3 linked regions of the Sus scrofa genome follow. The protein of the gene in region 1 binds, or shares a complex with, the protein of each later gene. Links are inferred from orthologs where the notes say so. Each region holds a gene or a part of one and is shown in the gene's direction. Other genes may lie near its edges.

What was found.
Region 2: the proteins of BMP10 (region 1) and BMPR2 are in contact, whole or in part, in a crystal structure (PDB 7PPA), measured with the Homo sapiens proteins. The link is inferred for Sus scrofa from reciprocal best matches to the Homo sapiens genes BMP10 and BMPR2. Residues at the interface, in NP_055297.1 of Homo sapiens: Tyr329, Lys333, Asp338, Ser339, Trp340, Ile342, Ala343, Pro344, Pro345, Gly346, Tyr347, Glu348, Glu395, Pro396, Ile397, Ser398, Ile399, Leu400, Leu402, Val407, Tyr409, Phe411, Ala417; in NP_001195.2 of Homo sapiens: Asp38, Ser64, Tyr67, Leu69, Lys81, Cys84, Trp85, Ser86, Ile88, Gly89, Asp90, Pro91, Gln92, Glu93, Thr103, Thr104, Pro105, Pro106, Ile108, Tyr113, Phe115.
Region 3: the proteins of BMP10 (region 1) and ACVRL1 are in contact, whole or in part, in a crystal structure (PDB 6SF1), measured with the Homo sapiens proteins. The link is inferred for Sus scrofa from reciprocal best matches to the Homo sapiens genes BMP10 and ACVRL1. Residues at the interface, in NP_055297.1 of Homo sapiens: Tyr322, Asn357, Tyr358, Pro359, Ala361, Glu362, His363, Pro366, Thr367, Lys368, Ile371, Leu375, Leu378, Lys379, Ser381, Lys386; in NP_000011.2 of Homo sapiens: His40, Val54, Val56, Arg57, Glu58, Glu59, His66, Gly70, Asn71, Leu72, His73, Glu75, Leu76, Phe84, Val85, His87.

What each region holds. Positions count from the first base shown.
Region 1 is NC_010445.4:73,517,755-73,524,256, forward strand, and holds the start of BMP10 (bone morphogenetic protein 10), read left to right. Parts: upstream 1-2,149; 5' UTR 2,150-2,233; coding exon 2,234-2,567; intron 2,568-6,502. UniProt on the Homo sapiens protein: Required for maintaining the proliferative activity of embryonic cardiomyocytes by preventing premature activation of the negative cell cycle regulator CDKN1C/p57KIP and maintaining the required expression levels of cardiogenic factors such as MEF2C and NKX2-5.
Region 2 is NC_010457.5:106,127,144-106,131,762, forward strand, and holds part of BMPR2 (bone morphogenetic protein receptor type-2 precursor), read left to right. Parts: intron 1-1,600; coding exon 1,601-2,880; intron 2,881-4,619. UniProt on the Homo sapiens protein: On ligand binding, forms a receptor complex consisting of two type II and two type I transmembrane serine/threonine kinases.
Region 3 is NC_010447.5:17,280,020-17,285,928, forward strand, and holds the end of ACVRL1 (serine/threonine-protein kinase receptor R3), read left to right. Parts: intron 1-414; coding exon 415-545; intron 546-1,766; coding exon 1,767-1,901; 3' UTR 1,902-4,136; downstream 4,137-5,909. UniProt on the Homo sapiens protein: Type I receptor for TGF-beta family ligands BMP9/GDF2 and BMP10 and important regulator of normal blood vessel development. On ligand binding, forms a receptor complex consisting of two type II and two type I transmembrane serine/threonine kinases.

The sequences.
Region 1 (6,502 bases):
GACCTGCTGTGCCACAAGGGAACTCTGCAATCATCTTTTTAACAAAGGAACAGAAGCTTTCCCTGAAATAGAGCACTGACTCAAATCAACAACGATTAAGTAAATGAACGATTTTGTGGAGGGATTTCCTCCCCCCAAAATATAGAATAGATAACGGTCAAGGGCCTGCTGTAAAGCACAGAGAAATCTACTTAATATTCTGTAATAACCTATATGAGAAAAAAATGAAAAAAATAACCTAAATCAGAATAAAATAAAATATATATATATATATATAAAGCTGATTCAATTTGTCATACACCTGAAACTAAGACACCACTGTAAGTCAACTATACTCCAACAAAATTGTAAGAAAATACAGCCCTATTTCTGGTAGTTCAAAAAATTGCTATAAAAATGTGCATTTTAGGAGAAGGAAGAATCAGAAGATGACTATAAACCTTAGGGAGTATAGAAGACAAAAAAGGAAAATGGAGTTGCTGTAGTTATCCTATTGGGGTAAATGTAGGAAAACTTAACTGAGAAACTAAAAGAATATTCAGGTGCACCAAATATATAGCTCACAGCCCTCTGAGCACAGCACAAGGGCATATGCACTAAACAAGTCAGGGAGACACCAGGCCCAGAGGCTCAGCGGGAGAAACAGCCCCCGAAGTTGTCCACAGGACCATCCTGACACACTCTGAGGCTACAGCCACTAATGAGGGTTGAAAAGTGAGATGACCTTGGTGTGTCTTTCCCTGCACCAGACACACAATTCCACCACTGTTTTTCAGATCAAAGCTTTTGGCCTTTTTCACCTGCCTAATATGTTGTTTGCCAAGCTTTCACTGAAGCCATGTGATGAATTTGATTTAACCGTAAAGATGGCTTTAGCAGAGATTTTGGTGATCTTAATAATTCGTCATTCCAGTGAAGGACCTGAGGTCCACATCCAGCCACACGCTATTGCCTGTCTTCTCCTAACTGTGGGTGCCCGGGCAAAAGGCTGGGCTGGAGCTATAGCCCAGGGAACACTGGTTAAAAGGTCTGATTGCTGGGAGTTCCCACTGTGGCTCCGCAGCTTATGAACCCACCTAGTATCCAGGAGGATGCAGGTTTGATCCCTGGCCTTGCTCAGTTGGTTAAGGATCTGGTGTAGCCACAAGCTGCAGTGTAGCTCACAGACAAGCCTTGGATCCCACATTGCTGTGGCTGTGCTGTAGGCCGGCAGCTGCAGCTCTGATTCGACCCTTAGCCTGGGAACTTCCATATGCCGCAAGTACGGCCCTAAAAAAAGCAAAGGTCTGATTGTTTTCTTGTTTCATAAGTGTCAGACTGCCTGGATTCAAATCCTGGCTCCATCACTTTGTCACTTTGTGACCTCTGGCAACATATTGAAACTTAGTGACCGATGTATGCCATGGGGATAATAATAGTGTCATTATAGGAAGCACATTTGGCGATATATACAAAGTACTTAGCACATTGCCTGTTCGTAGGAAAGCACCTAATAAATCTTAGCTGCTGTAATAATGAAGCACTTGCCCTATTTTTCAAAAGCCATTTTAGCCAGATCAAGTCTGTACAAAAAAGGCTATTGATGACAAAGTTTTTACTCTCTTCTTTCTAATAATGTCAGCGGTTAAAGATTTCTGTAAGTTCATTTGTATCTATTAACTTAACTTGAAAACGCTGGAGATTTGGTCTTTCTTCGGAGAGATTTATGTGAGAATGAAAGGCCCCTCACTTGCATTAAACCGTATCGCCACCCATGTGCATTATGTCGATTCTTAATATCTATTATCTGCATGTGTGACACTGAACCATGTAAAAGCAAAATGTAGGTGCTTCTGCCAAAAGGAAGTGGATTCAAAGGAGGAGAAGCAGAGCCTTTGCAAGAAGAAAACTGTCCTATCTCTCAGCCAGTGTCAGAATGTGGAAATGTTTACAAAATGCTCATTAAAAGAAAAAAGGATTGCAAGATAGAAACAAAATCTGGTGCACAAGTTTACACTAGGGAGATAAGAAAGGCTAGGCCCCTATGGGGGATTTTGTTATCCAATTACTGCAACCTGACTTTTGGTGTTGGGGGGTGTGTGTGGGAAGAGTGGCGGGGGGAGGGAGAGAGAAGGGAAGTTTCCAAACTTGTCTCCAGTGACAGGAGACATTTATGCTCTGCAAGATAAAACTGCCACTTAGAGCCCAGGAGCGCTAAACCTTCCTGGGCTGGCCTGGGGGCTCGAGCAGAGCTATGGGTTTCCTGGCCCTACAGCTGTGCGCGCTCTCCTGCCTGGTGGCTCCCTGGGTTTCTGGCAGCCCCATCATGAGCCTGGAGCAGTCGCCTCTGGAAGAAGATATGCCACTCTTTGACGATGTCTTCTCGGAGCAAGATGGTGTCGACTTCAACAGCCTGCTCCAGAGCATGAAGAACGAGTTTCTCAAGACATTGAACCTGTCTGACATCCCGATGCAGGACTCAGCCAAGGTCGACCCCCCCGAGTACATGCTGGAACTCTACAATAAATTTGCCACAGATCGGACCTCCATGCCCTCTGCCAACATCATTAGGAGTTTCAAGAATGAAGGTAGGTTGACGTTTTACTGATGAAATCTGGCTTTGCATTTTCAGAAGCACTAGGTAAATGGACCATGCAAGGGAGGGATACAGATAAGAGTGAAAACGTCTGTATAGGGGTGTGTGTGGACACAGACACACAGAAACAATGCACAGTGTGTTCTGTAACGTCTTCATTTTCCAAATGGCATTAAAAGGGATTAAAGAATATCTTTTGATCCAGAGTTGTAGGGTGTCTGCCATTTTGACCTCATCATTGGGCCTTTAAAATTTTTCAATTTGGACGGCAGGTCATAAAAGATGTTAATGTTAGTCTACCACCATACTTCTGCCCTTTTCCCAGATAGGCCTCAGTTCCATTTGGCTTTTAATTGACCACAGTATTTGTCAGCTTCTGAAAATGATGAAAGTAGACAAAATACAGAAAGTGGCCGTTTGTGTTTCCCTCAACCTTTGGGTGAGTTTCCATTCTGGGACCTGATGTAAGACGTGTTCAAACAGAATGGAAACGTATGTTTTCGAGATTCTTCCTAAAGTTCTGTTTCTTTGATGTGACGTGTGTATCCTTGAAGCCCTGTGTATAGTTTCCGGGAAGTGTGCAAGGCCCAATTAATGATCCGGCTTATTCTGTGTCCTTACAAAGAGCAAAGCACAAGCTTAGATATCAGTGGGAAAAATGTGTTTTCTTCCCCTCCCTAGATCCTTATGAAGTCCTAAATCTAAGGATCTAGCAAGGTAATTCTTTGTTTAATAGGATGCAAGTAGTCAAGATTTTTGTGGCTAATATCGAATACTCGATTCCAATATGGGTGGTGGGTCCAAAGAAAGCAATTCTTCATAGTTACCAATTATGCTTTTATAGTCATTGACCAGGTGCAAAAGGGGGTTTGAGTAGATGTTGGCCAAATGTTCTTGAAAGCAAAAAAGGCAGTGGCAAAACAACAGTACAGGATTTGGATTTTTGAGACAGGCCTGACTTTGTCAATGTGGATAATTAGCTTAATTTCCCTGAACCTCTATTTCTTCATCTGTAAATTAGGGATAATATTCCTACATAACAGAGTTGAGTGATTTCAAAGAGGTTATGAGTAAGAAAACACTCAATTTACTATGAAGTGTTGAACACGCGCTAGCGACCATTAATGAATTCCTTAAATTCTAGGTATTGGAGGAAATGTTAAACAGGCATTAGCCAGTCCTGGGGATAACTATTTGCCTTTAAAATTCAGGTGGCTGCCAAAATGTTACATATTCAGGAACATATTGGAAATATTACTTAGGAACATTTAGTAACATAATGGGAATGACCAGCTGAAGTTACCGATTCCTTTTGGAGTCAGTCTGAATTGAAAATCAGCCTTCTCCCTGGGATGTTTTGGATGCTGAGCCCTGGGTGGCTGAATCAGGGTGTGGATGGGAAGATGTTCACATCCCCAGGGGAAAATAGGAGCTTTTCCGTTCTCATTTCTCCTATGGAGGATTTGGATGGTCCAGGTCAGGAAGAGGAGTTTTCAGAGCTTCTTATTTCTCATGATCAGTGAGGACAGGGCAAACTTCTTAGGGGACAAGCCAGCTGCCCGCACCTCTGCCAGAATCCATGGGTGAAAATGCCCGAGGTCATGCATCCTGCTGGCTGACATTGTCTCTCTTTGATTCTTTGCGTTGACTCAGTGCAGCTCCCTAAGAGACAGCAACACGGAACAAAACCTCCTCCAAATCTAACTAATCAGAGGAAAAGGAGCGCTGCTTCCAAGGTGAAAAATATGCTATTTCATTTCCTACCACTGCTTTGATTTCACCTTGTCATCTTGGGGAAATCAGTTCTCTGCATTGAGGCTTGATTTCTTCCAGAATAACATGAACATAGTAGCAATGTATGCATTATAGGCTCATTGTAAGAGCTAAATGAAACAATTTGCAAAGCACCCGGCACAGGGCATTTGCTCAACAAATATTAGTTCCTTAACCTGAAATGTAATGCCTCCCTCTAGTATTGTATTTGCACATGAACACTGAATTTACTTTATCAGCTTTATTGAAGTATAATTGACATTCAATGAACTTCACATATTTAAAGTGTAGAAGTTGATAGGTTTTGACCAATGTAAGCATCCATTGGAGCCATCATCACAACCAAGAGTGAGCATATTCATCACCACCAAAAGTTTCCTTGTCTCCTTAGCAATCCCTTCCTCCCACTACAGCGAGCTTTTACTCTGCATTGTTCTAGTTAATGGAACAACTAGTCTACTCCCCTATTTTTGGTCCTCTCACATGTCCTATCCAAGGGGTGTCAGGTTTCCTCCATTCCTATAAGAGGGGACAACCACCCAATTACTTGATGTAATAAGGACAAATGTCATTCCTGTAAACTAATTTGGTCTGATGCCCAGAATCATCACTGAATCAATATTTTTAAGGTGCTACCTCTGTTTAAAGCATCGTGGTAGATTAGAGGTGTGGAGGGGAGTTTAAGCTGTAGTATCTATCATTATGATGACAATCTAGTTGGAAAGATTTCCACTCATAAAGACAACTGAAAAACAGGGACATAAATGGCGAAGTCACAGGAGAGATATAGAGAGTAAATAATCAAATTACCCAGGTGGGAGTGAACATCCAGGTAGGGAGGTGAGGAAGGGAGGTCCCACAGGGAGTGGTCACAGCTGGATAAATGGAGATGAGGGGATAGAGCTTTCCAAGGGTCAGAAGAACAGATCCAAAGGTACAATATACACTAAAGAAGACAAATGTTTTGGTGAAGTGGTGAACGTATCAGTCTACTCTAAAGGAGACTTTGTTTAATCTTTGCTTAAAAGATTTGTTTAATCTTTCAACAAATATTAATTGATCAATTGCAGTGTTCCATGCTGTAGGGGATGAATGGGATCAGGAGGTGAAGACCTGGTTAGAGCTAGTTTTGAGAGCCATGCTAGGGAGTTCAAATTCATTCCATTGACCAGTATTCCCCATTGACAGCATATGAGATGATTTTAAGTGGTACCCAGAGGAAACTCAATCGTGTGAAATCATTACATATTTTTGTTAATGTGGATTAAAAAAGAATTGACGTAACTCTCACCCCAACCCCTCATTTCGTGAATACTGTTACCTAGGACAAGTCTAAAAGAGGAAGCAAGCATTCAAATAATCAGATCAAGTTAAAGAAAAATATTAAAGAGTACAATCTGGAACAGCAACCCCACTGAAATCAAGAATTGGGTATACAGTTGGGGAAATGCTGCCAAAGATGATGGGGGAAGTCCTCAAGTGGTGGTCCTTAACATCTGTGGTGTCATGGAACCTTTTGATTGATGACAAATGTCTTCAGGGATTCCTTGTGAGCAGGTGTTACCTGGGCAAGTGTATGGGAGCTTGGGACTCCGAAAAATTCTCAGAGAGGAAGTCAACCTAATATTTGGAGGCATGCTTCTAAAACTAAAAATTTTAAACTAAAATTTAAAAATTTAAAATTTTATTTCATAAACATTCTGAGTGATTCCTACAGGCAGTACTTCCATACTAGGTGCTAAGGATATACAACTAAAGCAGTCAGTCTATCCCCAAGGTTCATTTCCCCACCCCCATTCTTCCTTATGGAGGACCACCACCCCAGGTTCAACTACTGTGACTCCCTTAGTTTTATGGCTCTCTTGTTGACCTTGCCAGGCTTTGGTGTCTAGAGCAAGGGTCAGCAAACTTTTTCTGTAAGAGGGCAGGCAGATCGTAAATGTTTTAGGTTTTATGGGTCGTGATCTCTGTTGAGACCATTTAACGCTCCCATCATAGCGCAAGGCTAGCCACAAACACAATACAGAAACAAATGCTTTCTAGTGACATTTTATTTCCCAAAACAGGTGGCAGGCCTGCTGTTGTAGCTAGGTTTACCAACCCCGGGTCTCAGTGGATGTTTTTTAGGAACACGCTGACTATGTGGCAAGTACA
Region 2 (4,619 bases), on another chromosome or scaffold:
TGCTGCTAGTAACCACAAATCTGATCTCTTTTTCTATGAGTTTGTTTGTTTGGTTTTGAAGTACAGTTGACCTGTAACTCTGTGTTAGTTCCTGTTACACAACATAGTGATTTGGTATTTCTATACATTTCAAAAATTATCACCAGTATGAGTCTAGTTACGGTATATCATCCTACAAAGATATTACATAGTTATTTACTCTGTTCCTTAGAGTGTGTATGTCATCATGACTCATGTATTCTGCAACTGGAATTTTATACCTCTTAACATTTCTCACTTATTTCCTCCCTTCCCTGACCCCCTCTTCTCTGGCAAATACCTGTTTGTTCTCTGTATCTGTAATTCTGTTTGTTTAGTTTTATTTGGTTTGGTTTTCAGATTCCACATACAAGTGAAATCATATGGTATTTGTCTTTCTCTGTCTGACTTATTTCACTTAGCATAATACATTCTAGATCCATCCATGTCACAGATGGAAAGATTTCATTCTTTTTTATGGCTGATATTCTGTTGGGCATATACCACATTTTTGTCTATTTATCTATCAGTGGGTACTTGGGTTTTTTCCATATCTTGGCCTGGCTTTTTTTTTTTAAAGCAAATATGTTATAGTGTGATGTTTAAGAACCACCATTCTCAAGATGTGACAATAACAGGGAAGAACCTTTGATAACTGGAGAGCAGTTCTATATCTTTGATTTATTTATTTATTTATTTTTTTATTTTGAGTGTCACATTCTGCCTTATACCCTAAGGCTCTAAGACTTTCATTGATAATGGTTCGGTCTACCTTAGGAAGATAAGTTCCTTTGCTAGACTATGCGTCTTAATGTAGCACTTTGAAACAACCTAAAAGATTATGTTCTTTTTACTATTTGGAACTTAGTTGGTAACATATTTGTTGAGTAGCAGTTGTATATTTAGAATTATGGAAATGTAAAAGACACACGCCTTGTTTCCTTCTCTCATGGAACTTTTTTTTTTTTTTTTTTTGCCTCTTCAGGGCCGCAACCTACGGCATATGGAGGTTCCCAGGCTAGGGGCCTAATGGGAGCTGTAGCTGCCAGCCACAGCCATAGCCACAACAACGCAGGATCTGAGCCGCATCTGCGATCTGCACCACAGCTCACAGCAACGCCGGGTCCTTAACCCACTGAGCGAGGCCAGGGATCGAACCCGCAACCTCATGGTTCCTAGTTGAATTCGTCAACCATTGAACCACAATGGGAACTCCTCTCATGGAACTTTTATGTCTGTTGTGCAAGTATTCAATTCATAAAGGTATATTTGCTAATGTTACAAAACTATAGGGGAGTTTTTTTAAATAACTTTTATAAGCCTAAAGAATAAGTATATATATAAATCATGTCTAGATCCATATAGGCTTTTTGGTAGGCTTAAATCATACAAAACTAGCCTTTAGCAAGGTATTAAATGACATTTGATTGTTTGATTAGAATTATTAAATAACCTTTAGAATAATGTGGGTTAGGAATAAAATTAAAAGCAAATTATTCTTTAAAATCAGAGGTGTTAAACTCTGAGAGTCAGTTTGTCATAAATGTACATTCTCAACATGGCACTTTTTTCTTTCTTTAAGCAACCTATCCCACAACAGGCGTGTGCCAAAGATTGGCCCTTATCCAGATTATTCTTCTTCCTCATACATTGAAGACTCGATCCATCACACTGACAGCATTGTGAAGAATATCTCCTCTGAGCATTCAATGTCCAGCACACCTTTGACTTTAGGGGAAAAGAACCGAAATTCAATTAACTATGAACGGCAGCAAGCACAAGCTCGAATCCCCAGCCCTGAAACAAGTGTCACCAGCTTGTCTACCAACACTACAACCACAAACACCACTGGCCTCACTCCAAGCACCGGCATGACCACTATATCTGAGATGCCATACTCAGATGAAGCAAATCTGCATGCCACAAATGTCTCACAGCCAATCGGGCCAACCCCCGTCTGCTTACAACTGACAGAAGAAGACTTGGAGACCAACAAGCTGGACCCAAAAGAAGTTGATAAAAACCTCAAAGAAAGTTCTGATGAGAATCTCATGGAACATTCTCTTAAACAGTTTAGTGGGCCAGATCCCCTGAGCAGTACCAGTTCTAGCTTGCTTTACCCACTCATAAAGCTTGCAGTAGAAGTGACAGGACAGCAGGACTTCGCACAGGCTGCAAATGGCCAAGCATGTTTAATTCCTGATGTCCCACCCGCTCAGATCTATCCTCTCCCCAAGCAACAGAACCTTCCTAAGAGACCTACTAGTTTGCCTTTGAACACCAAAAATTCAACAAAGGAGCCCCGGCTGAAATTTGGCAGCAAGCACAAATCAAACTTGAAACAAGTAGAAACTGGAGTTGCCAAGATGAATACAATCAATGCTGCAGAACCTCATGTGGTGACGGTCACCATGAATGGTGTGGCAGGTAGAAACCACAGCATTAACTCTCATGCTGCCACTACCCAGTATGTCAATGGGGTAGTTCCGTCTGGCCAGACAGCCAACACAGTGGCACATAGAACCCAAGAAATGCTGCAGAATCAATTCATTGGTGAGGACACCCGGCTGAATATTAATTCCAGTCCTGATGAGCATGAACCATTACTGAGACGAGAGCAACAGGCTGGCCATGATGAAGGTGTTCTGGATCGTCTGGTGGACAGGAGGGAACGACCACTGGAAGGCGGCCGAACTAATTCCAATAACAACAACAGCAATCCATGTTCAGAGCAAGAAGGTCTTACACAGGGTGTTCCAAGCACAGTAGCAGACCCTGCACCGTCAAAGCCCAGAAGAGCACAGAGGCCTAATTCTCTGGATCTTTCAGCCACAAATGTCCTTGATGGCAGCAGTTTGCAGTGTAAGTGGAGGGATTGTGTAATCTTTTGGGACCATTTAAGTAACTACTTAGTTAGAAACAGATTATGTTTCAACTAGCAATTATTTTATATTACTTTTCAAAATAAAATAAGCCATTTGGGAGTTCTCATTGTGGCCCAGCAGGTTTCAATCCTGACTAGTATGCAGGGATGCAGGTTTGATCCTTGGCCTTGCTCAGTGGGTTATGGATCCGGCCTTGCCATGAGCTATAGTGTAGGTTGCCGGTATGGCTCAGATCTGGTGTTGCTGTGGCTGCGGCATAGGCCAGTAGCTGCAGCTCTGATTTGACTCTTAGCCTAGGAACTTCCATATACTGCAGTGCAGCCCTGAAAGAAGCAAAAAATAAAATAAGCCATTTGGTTGGACTTCAGAAGTAATTAAAATGTTGTATAAAACAAATAATTTTGTTGTTTATAATTTAAAAGATAATGTCACAATAATTGGAATAGTTAGCAATTTGTCTTATGTAACTGCTGGTTTGTAATGCAACTCACATACTTACTATGAATAGTTGAGATAAAGTACTGACCAGTTTAAACAATCCAAGTAAGATGATGCCAGTATCACTTTTGAAACTTTGTTGAGCATATTAGTATTTATTAAAAAGTCCATAGAAAATTCAGAAAAGTCAATATAAAGAAACCATAGGAGTTCCAGTTTGTGGCACAGCAGAAATGAATCTGACTAGTATCCTATGAGGACACAGGTTTGATCCCTGACCTGGCTCAGTGGGTTAAGGATCTGGCGTTGTCCTGAGCTGTGGTGTAGGTCTCAGATGCAGCTCAGATTCTGCGTTGGTGTGGCTATGGTATAGGCCAGCAGCAGTAGCTCCAATTGGACCCCTGGCCTGGGGACTCCATATGCCTTAGGTGCAGCTCTAAAAAAAAATAAATAAAACAAGAAACTATAAAGTTCTTCATGGTTTTTAATGTCATTTTTTTTTTTTAGGAGTTATATGCTGAGTCTCCCATGTGCCTATAGCATTGTGCTGTGGGGCCTCTAGCAACTTGATACTTGGTTTATGGCCCTAGAAGGATTATAATGCAATATAGAAGAGCTCACCAAAATCTTTAACAGTCATCATTATACAAAATGACTTCTCCGAGTTCCCGTCGTGGCTCAGTGGAAACAAACCCGACTACTATCCATGAGGATATGGGTTCAATCCCTGGCCTTACTCGGTGGGTTAAAGGATCTGGAGTTGCTGTGAGCTGTGGTATAGGCTGGCAGCTGCAGCTCCAATTCAGCCCCTAGTCTGGGAACTTCCATATTTTGTGAGTGCGGCCCTAAAAAAAAAAAAGATTGTTTAGACTGATAGCACTTATAAAAAAAAAAAAAGAAAGAAAAAACAAAGACTACGAAATGGGCTGAAGGGATTCGGCTGTCATAAATCAGTAGCCCCTTGCTTGAATGGCTTGTATTATAGAAATGTTGACATACCTTATGGCAAGGTTCCATATTAGTAAAAATGTCTTGTGACACATGGGAAGGGTAAGTTACTAGAAAATTTGTACCCCATTGTTTATGTCATTATTCTGAAAAATATTAATGCCTTGAGCCTTTAAAATATGATCCACTTTGAGCATGGAATAGAACGATTAAATGCATTTTGTAGCATTGCTGCTCATAACCAAAGGATTTTTGAGAATACAGTTGAGAACTTGGAATTTTCTCTTCTGTTTTTAACCTTTTGTGGCTTTTCAATATTTTCTTCCTTGC
Region 3 (5,909 bases), on another chromosome or scaffold:
CCTGCCCTTGCTCAGTGGGTTAACGATCCAGCGTTGCCTCGAGTTGTGGTGTAGTTTGCAGATGCGGCTTGGATCCAGTGTTGCTGTGGCTCTGGTGTAGGCCAGGGGCTACAGCTCCGATTTGACCCCTAGCCTGGGAACCTCCATATGCCGCGGGAGCGGCCCAAGAAATAGCAAAAAGACAAAAAAAAATACATATATATATATATATATATATATATATATATATGTGTGTGTATATATATATATATATATTTATTTATTTATCATATTATGCTATCCCTCTCAGGGATAGCATAGCCAGGCAGCTAGTTTCCTGGTCCCTGGTCCAGAGGGTGGGCAGGGCTCTCTGCTGGGTGACCTTGGGTCTCCTTGGCATCCTGAGTGACTGTCCCCATTGCCTGCCATCCCCAGGCATTGTCGAGGACTACAGGCCCCCCTTCTATGATGTGGTGCCTAATGATCCCAGCTTTGAGGACATGAAGAAGGTGGTGTGTGTTGACCAGCAGACACCCACCATCCCCAACCGACTGGCTGCAGACCCGGTGAGGCCTCCAGGGGGGCTGGGATGGCATGGGGCGGTGGCCCACAGCTGGGGGTGCTGGGCCCAGGAACTTCTGTCCCGCTTCCACTTCACCTGGAGAGACTGTGGGGGACAGAGTCCAGGCTCCCTCTCTGGGGACCTCATCCTTGCCTGGGGACCTCTGGGGACCCTCTGGTTTTTCCAGGATTTCCAGAACCCTTCACCTGACCTGAAAAGTCAGAGGCTCTCTGTCACCCTTCCAGCTATGCAGTTCTTGTTATTGCTGGTTTGTCTTGTTTTTTTCTCAAAACACTCTACATACTTATATAGGACACACACACATAGAGACACATATAGTCATGCACACTCTTCTGCACAAACACACACTCACACATGCACATATCTGCCAGACTGTCAGCCCATGAAGACAAAGAGCATCTCCTTTGCTGACCTTTCCATCCCGGTTACCTGTCACAGTGCCTGGCACACAATAGGGACTCAAGAAATGTTTATGGAAAGAATGACTCAACATACACATGTATATACAGGTGTGTGTGCGTACGCACAGGCACACTTCTGCACCACATGCGGATCCACAAGAGACCACTCAGATGCATGCCTTTGCACACACACATACACTCCCTCTCAGGAACCAGCTCAAGTTCTGAGGCGGGGGTAAGGCTGAGGACCTCACTCGAGGACCACCGAGCTTCCCGGGTGGGTTCCTCCCTGGAAAGATGCATTTCGAGGGCACCCACCACCCAATCTTCCAGGGTCCACTGGGCCTGCCAGGGTTGGTGGAGGGACGGGGACCTGCTGCCTTCTGCACTGGGGTCCGGCTGCATGCAGATGGGGACATGGAGAGGTCCCCTTTCCTGGTTCTCGGTAGAGGTGGGGGTGGGGCAAGTTGTTTTGTAAACGCCAAAGGGCGTCCCTGAAGATCTGAGTGACCCTCTGCATCCTGCCTGCCTTTCTCCATCCCCTTCTCGTTCCACTCCCTTCCTCTTTCATTTTGCATCTTTCTTTCCTCATCCTGCCTGCTTCCCGCCATTCTCCCTCCTCCCACTTCTGTCTCTCCTCCCCCACCTTCTTTTCGACACACCTGCTTCCCTCCTCTCATCCGTTCTGTCCTGCTGGGGTCTCCGCCCCGTGGGGCATCCTCCTGGCCTCTTCCTTTCCATCCCCCCTGACCCCATGACTCTGCCTCCTCTCCTCTGCTTTGCTCTCCCTCCCCCCACCCCAGGTCCTCTCAGGCCTGGCTCAGATGATGCGGGAGTGCTGGTACCCCAACCCCTCTGCCCGCCTCACTGCGCTGCGGATCAAGAAGACGCTACAGAAACTCAGCAACGGTCTCCAGAAGCCCAAAGGGATTCACTAGCCACGGACCGATGCCTGAACTTCCCTCCACCGGCGGTGTGTGTGGGGTGGGCCAGCGGTGGTGACCTGTTTGGGTAGAGGTTGTGTGAGTGTGTGTGCTGGGGAGGGGGGTGCCTGTCTCTGGGCAGCTGTGCCCGCCCGCCCGCCCGGCTGGCCCCCAGCCCATCCAGCCAAAAATATGGCTAGACTGAAACCCGATCCCCCCGCCGTCTGGCCCTCTGAAGGCAGCAGGCTCACTGACGCCTGGCTCCCTCCCCACCCCCCTGCCCTGGGTGCACCCCCACCCCCACCGCCCCCAGAACAGGATGCAAAAGAGGCTCCAGGGCCAGGGTGGCCAAGCCAGGGAATCCCAGTCCCGGACCCAGAGCCTGGACCTGCACTTTACCCCTTGTCCTCAGTCAACCCCACTGCCCCACCAGAGCTGCCGGGGTGGCACAGGGCCCCGTCCAGCCTCCGGTAGACACCCTGCCCTGCCAGGCCACAGCCTCCTGTCCAAATTCCAGACACCCAGGACCCATCCGTTTTTCTCTGTGGGTTTGTATCTCGGCTCCATGCTGCCTCAGGCCTTTATCTCCTAGCCAAGACCCCCCCACCCCGCCCCAGCTGAATGCTAGCTGCCTAGGAGAGCTGGGGCCTGATCTGGGCCCCTCCCCCACCCCCTCCTTAGCTGACTTATGGCCTTAAACCCAAGGAGTCATGCTTTGGTGTGGCGGAGTCACAGGCCAGGGGAGAGGTGGCAGGTCAGATGGGCAAGGCCCAGGACTTTCAGGGTAAACTGAGAGGACATTGAGGCCAAGCCTGGCCAGGGAAAGGCTCACCTGGGAGTCAGGTCCTAGGTGCTTGCTCTGTGTAACAAGAATGGGGCCGTTATCCCAGGACCTTTGTTCTTTCATCCACCTTTGGAAAGATTTGGTCCTGATATCCTCTGAGGTTTTTCTCGGCTCTAAAGTTCTTTAAAATTGCAGCCTATGTTAGAACTCAGTTCATCAGACCCTTGAATCCTTATGTCCAAACCCCTGGCAGTTGCCTCAAGATGGTGATTTGAGCACAACTTTATCTGAGGCCAGGAGTATCTGAAATCTTCCTAGTCTAATTTTACAAGTTCCGGTTCCTGTCTTAATCCATGCCTGAGGCCCAGGACTCAGACAACCCTGGGCCTTCTGGCAGGCAAGCCAACCCCTCTGTGGCTTCCATTGCTCTGCCCAGGGCTGACAAGAGCTGAGGGCCAGTTCCTGCAGGGCCTCCAAGGCTCAGAAGAAATCTGGGCCCAACCAGCAAGCCTCCAGCACCCAGGTTCTTGCTCCCCACTGGCCCCTGGCCCAGGCCCACACCCTTGGCCAGGCCCCAGAAAGTGGCTGTAGAGAAACACATGGAAAGTTTAGCATTTAGAAAGGTCAAGGGCATATGTCCACGCATGGAGGTGACTCTGAACCCCAAGCGGGTGACTGCGATGGAGGGTGATGGGTAGGAGGTAGGGCCTGCAGGTTGGAGGGTGAGAAGCAGGGCTCAGGCTAAGGACAGAGCAGTCCCACACTTGGAGAGACCTGGCCTTGCAGCCCTCAGCCCGAGACAGGGTGAAGGAAGGACCCTCAGTTCTCCACAGGAGGTGAAGGAAACACAGCCTCCTCCCCTCTTGCTGTAAATGCCCCAGCACAGCCTCCTGGGGCGGCTTCCTGAGTGTCTCTTCCACCGTTGCAGTGGCACTTTCCCAGGCCTGCCTGCCAGCATTGTGCAAGGCCTGGAGGAGAAGCAGGAAGTGAAACTGGCTGAAACAGAAAGCTACATGGACCAGCTAGGTTCCCACATCAACTGGGGGGCAGTTTGCTTCCTGGCAGTTTCATGTCTTCTGGTCCCTGGAACCCACCCAGTCCAGAAATCAGGACCCCCCCCACCCCCTTGAAGGTTTTTACCTCTACTGGATCTGGGGCCAAAAGGTTCCTGAGGCTCCGCAGTCAGCCTGAAGGCAGCAGCTCCCCAAAGGCTAGAAAATCCCTAAGAGGCAGGAGGCCGGGTGATGGGGGAAGGCTGAGAGAAGGGGCTGAAAGTGGGAGAAGAGCTATGGCTCGAAGGGAAGGAGCTGTTGGTGAGAGCCGTCTGTATAATGCTGCTGGCTGAGTTCAGGACCATGTTCCACAGCCGAAATGACAGTCCCTTAACTTGGAGAGACTGTTTGTGGGAGCACTTAGCTTGTGCTTAGCCCCTAGTAGGTCCTCAATAAAGCATGGTTGAATCTGGAGCTCCTGCTGCATCTTCCCAGGCCTGTGTCTCTGCAGGGGCCTCTCACAGAGGGAACTCAAGAGGACAGGGAAGGAGAGAGTCCCAGGGTATCCTGCCTGGGCTTCGTCCTTAAGAACCAAGTCACAGCTGACACTGGCCCCTGCTTGGATCTCAGTTCCCACCAGCCCGAATCTCAGTTCCTACCACCGGCTGGGAGCCGCCAGCTCGCGGCGCCTCCGCATCGCCCTCTGCTGGCCGGGAGGCTGCCGAGCGGCCGCCTTCTGCTCCGCCCCCGCGTGGGAACCGCAGGCCTTTCCCCGCGGGGATCTCCTCGCGCCGCTGCCCGGCCTCCCCCGTGGTTCTGTTTTGTGGGCAGTGTCCCCCGAAAACCACATCTAGAAAGGAGCTGCGATCTCACTCCGAGGCAGCTTGGACCCGCCCACCTCAATTCCCGGTTCTCCATTCTCTCCTTAAAATGGGACCCCTCTCTGGAACTCAGTCCTCATTCCCCAAACGGGAAGGCGGTCACCACCCTCAGGGACCCACCTTGGCCTCCTGGATGGGCTCGGAAAGCACCTCCCCCGCTTCCCCTGGAAACCTGCGGCGGGGACACGCCAGGGAGGAGGCAGGTGCTGAAAGAAGCCAAGACGGGTCTTTTCCATTTGACTGCCTATGCCTTTGCAGTAGAGGCCCCCTTAGGGAGCTACAGAAAGGGTCCCCCAATTCGTTTTACCGCGAAGGACCTCCCCCCCCTCCCAACAGCCCCCAAGGCGCTCTCATGCCTGGAGCCTGCTACCCACTTCCCAAGCCTATGTCCATGGACCCTCACACAGACCGTGCCCTTCACAGAAGACCTCTTAACACCAGCTCCGGGGAAGTAGCGAGCCTGGCATCCCTCAATGACGACTTTCTCCCTCCTCCTGTGTCTGCCAGACCCTGGTCTGGTCTTTCCATCTCCATCCTGATGTCCACCCTTTGGTTGGAGTGTGGGCAGAAGGGCAGTAGGAATATTGCGGAAAAGGAATCTCAAGGCTGGCTGGGGTCTGGGAAAGGAGCATTGGGCTTCTTGCCCTCCAGGGTTAGAACAGTCTGCAGAGGTCACCGTGTCCCAGCCCCTCCCTCCATGTAGAGCCTCAGGGAAACTGCCTGCCTTTGAAAAAAGAAAACCCATCAACTTTTTCACAGCTTTGTCCTGCCCTCCTGGGGACCCCAGGCTCCAGTTTCCTTACCTGGAAACTATGTTGTAAGGAGTTTCCCCGAGGGATGACAAGTGTCTATAACACGCCCAAATGGGAGTAAGGGTGGTTCCCGGAGCATCAGTTTTGATGCTAAGGCACTCGCCTTCCCCTCCCAAGCCCTGGTGGTACCCAATTCTATTCTCCCAGTCACCATTCTCCCTCATCTGTCCTGGAAAGGGATGGCCCTTCTGCCTCCAAAGCCTCACTCGCATCAATATTAGCAGACTGAGGGATGGCAAATCCCCACGCCTAAAACACCCAACCATGGCGGAGAGCTGGGGAGGGGGGGCACACGTCCAGTCTCCCAGGGCGGGGACGGATGCTGACTATGCAGCCGTCACTCTGGGTGGGCGACTCTTGGAACGAGCTGTTTCCACCAGGGCCACATTCAGTTTGCTAGAAATAGAGACAGAGGGCTTCTTGACTTTGCATATGATTTGCATAATGCCATAGACACACGGTCTATTTTCAGGCAGTTTTCAGGTTAAAGTGTTGTCACTGCTGCCCTGCGGGGTGTCACGTCTGGATGAGTCTCTTCTCTGTTCTTTCTCACC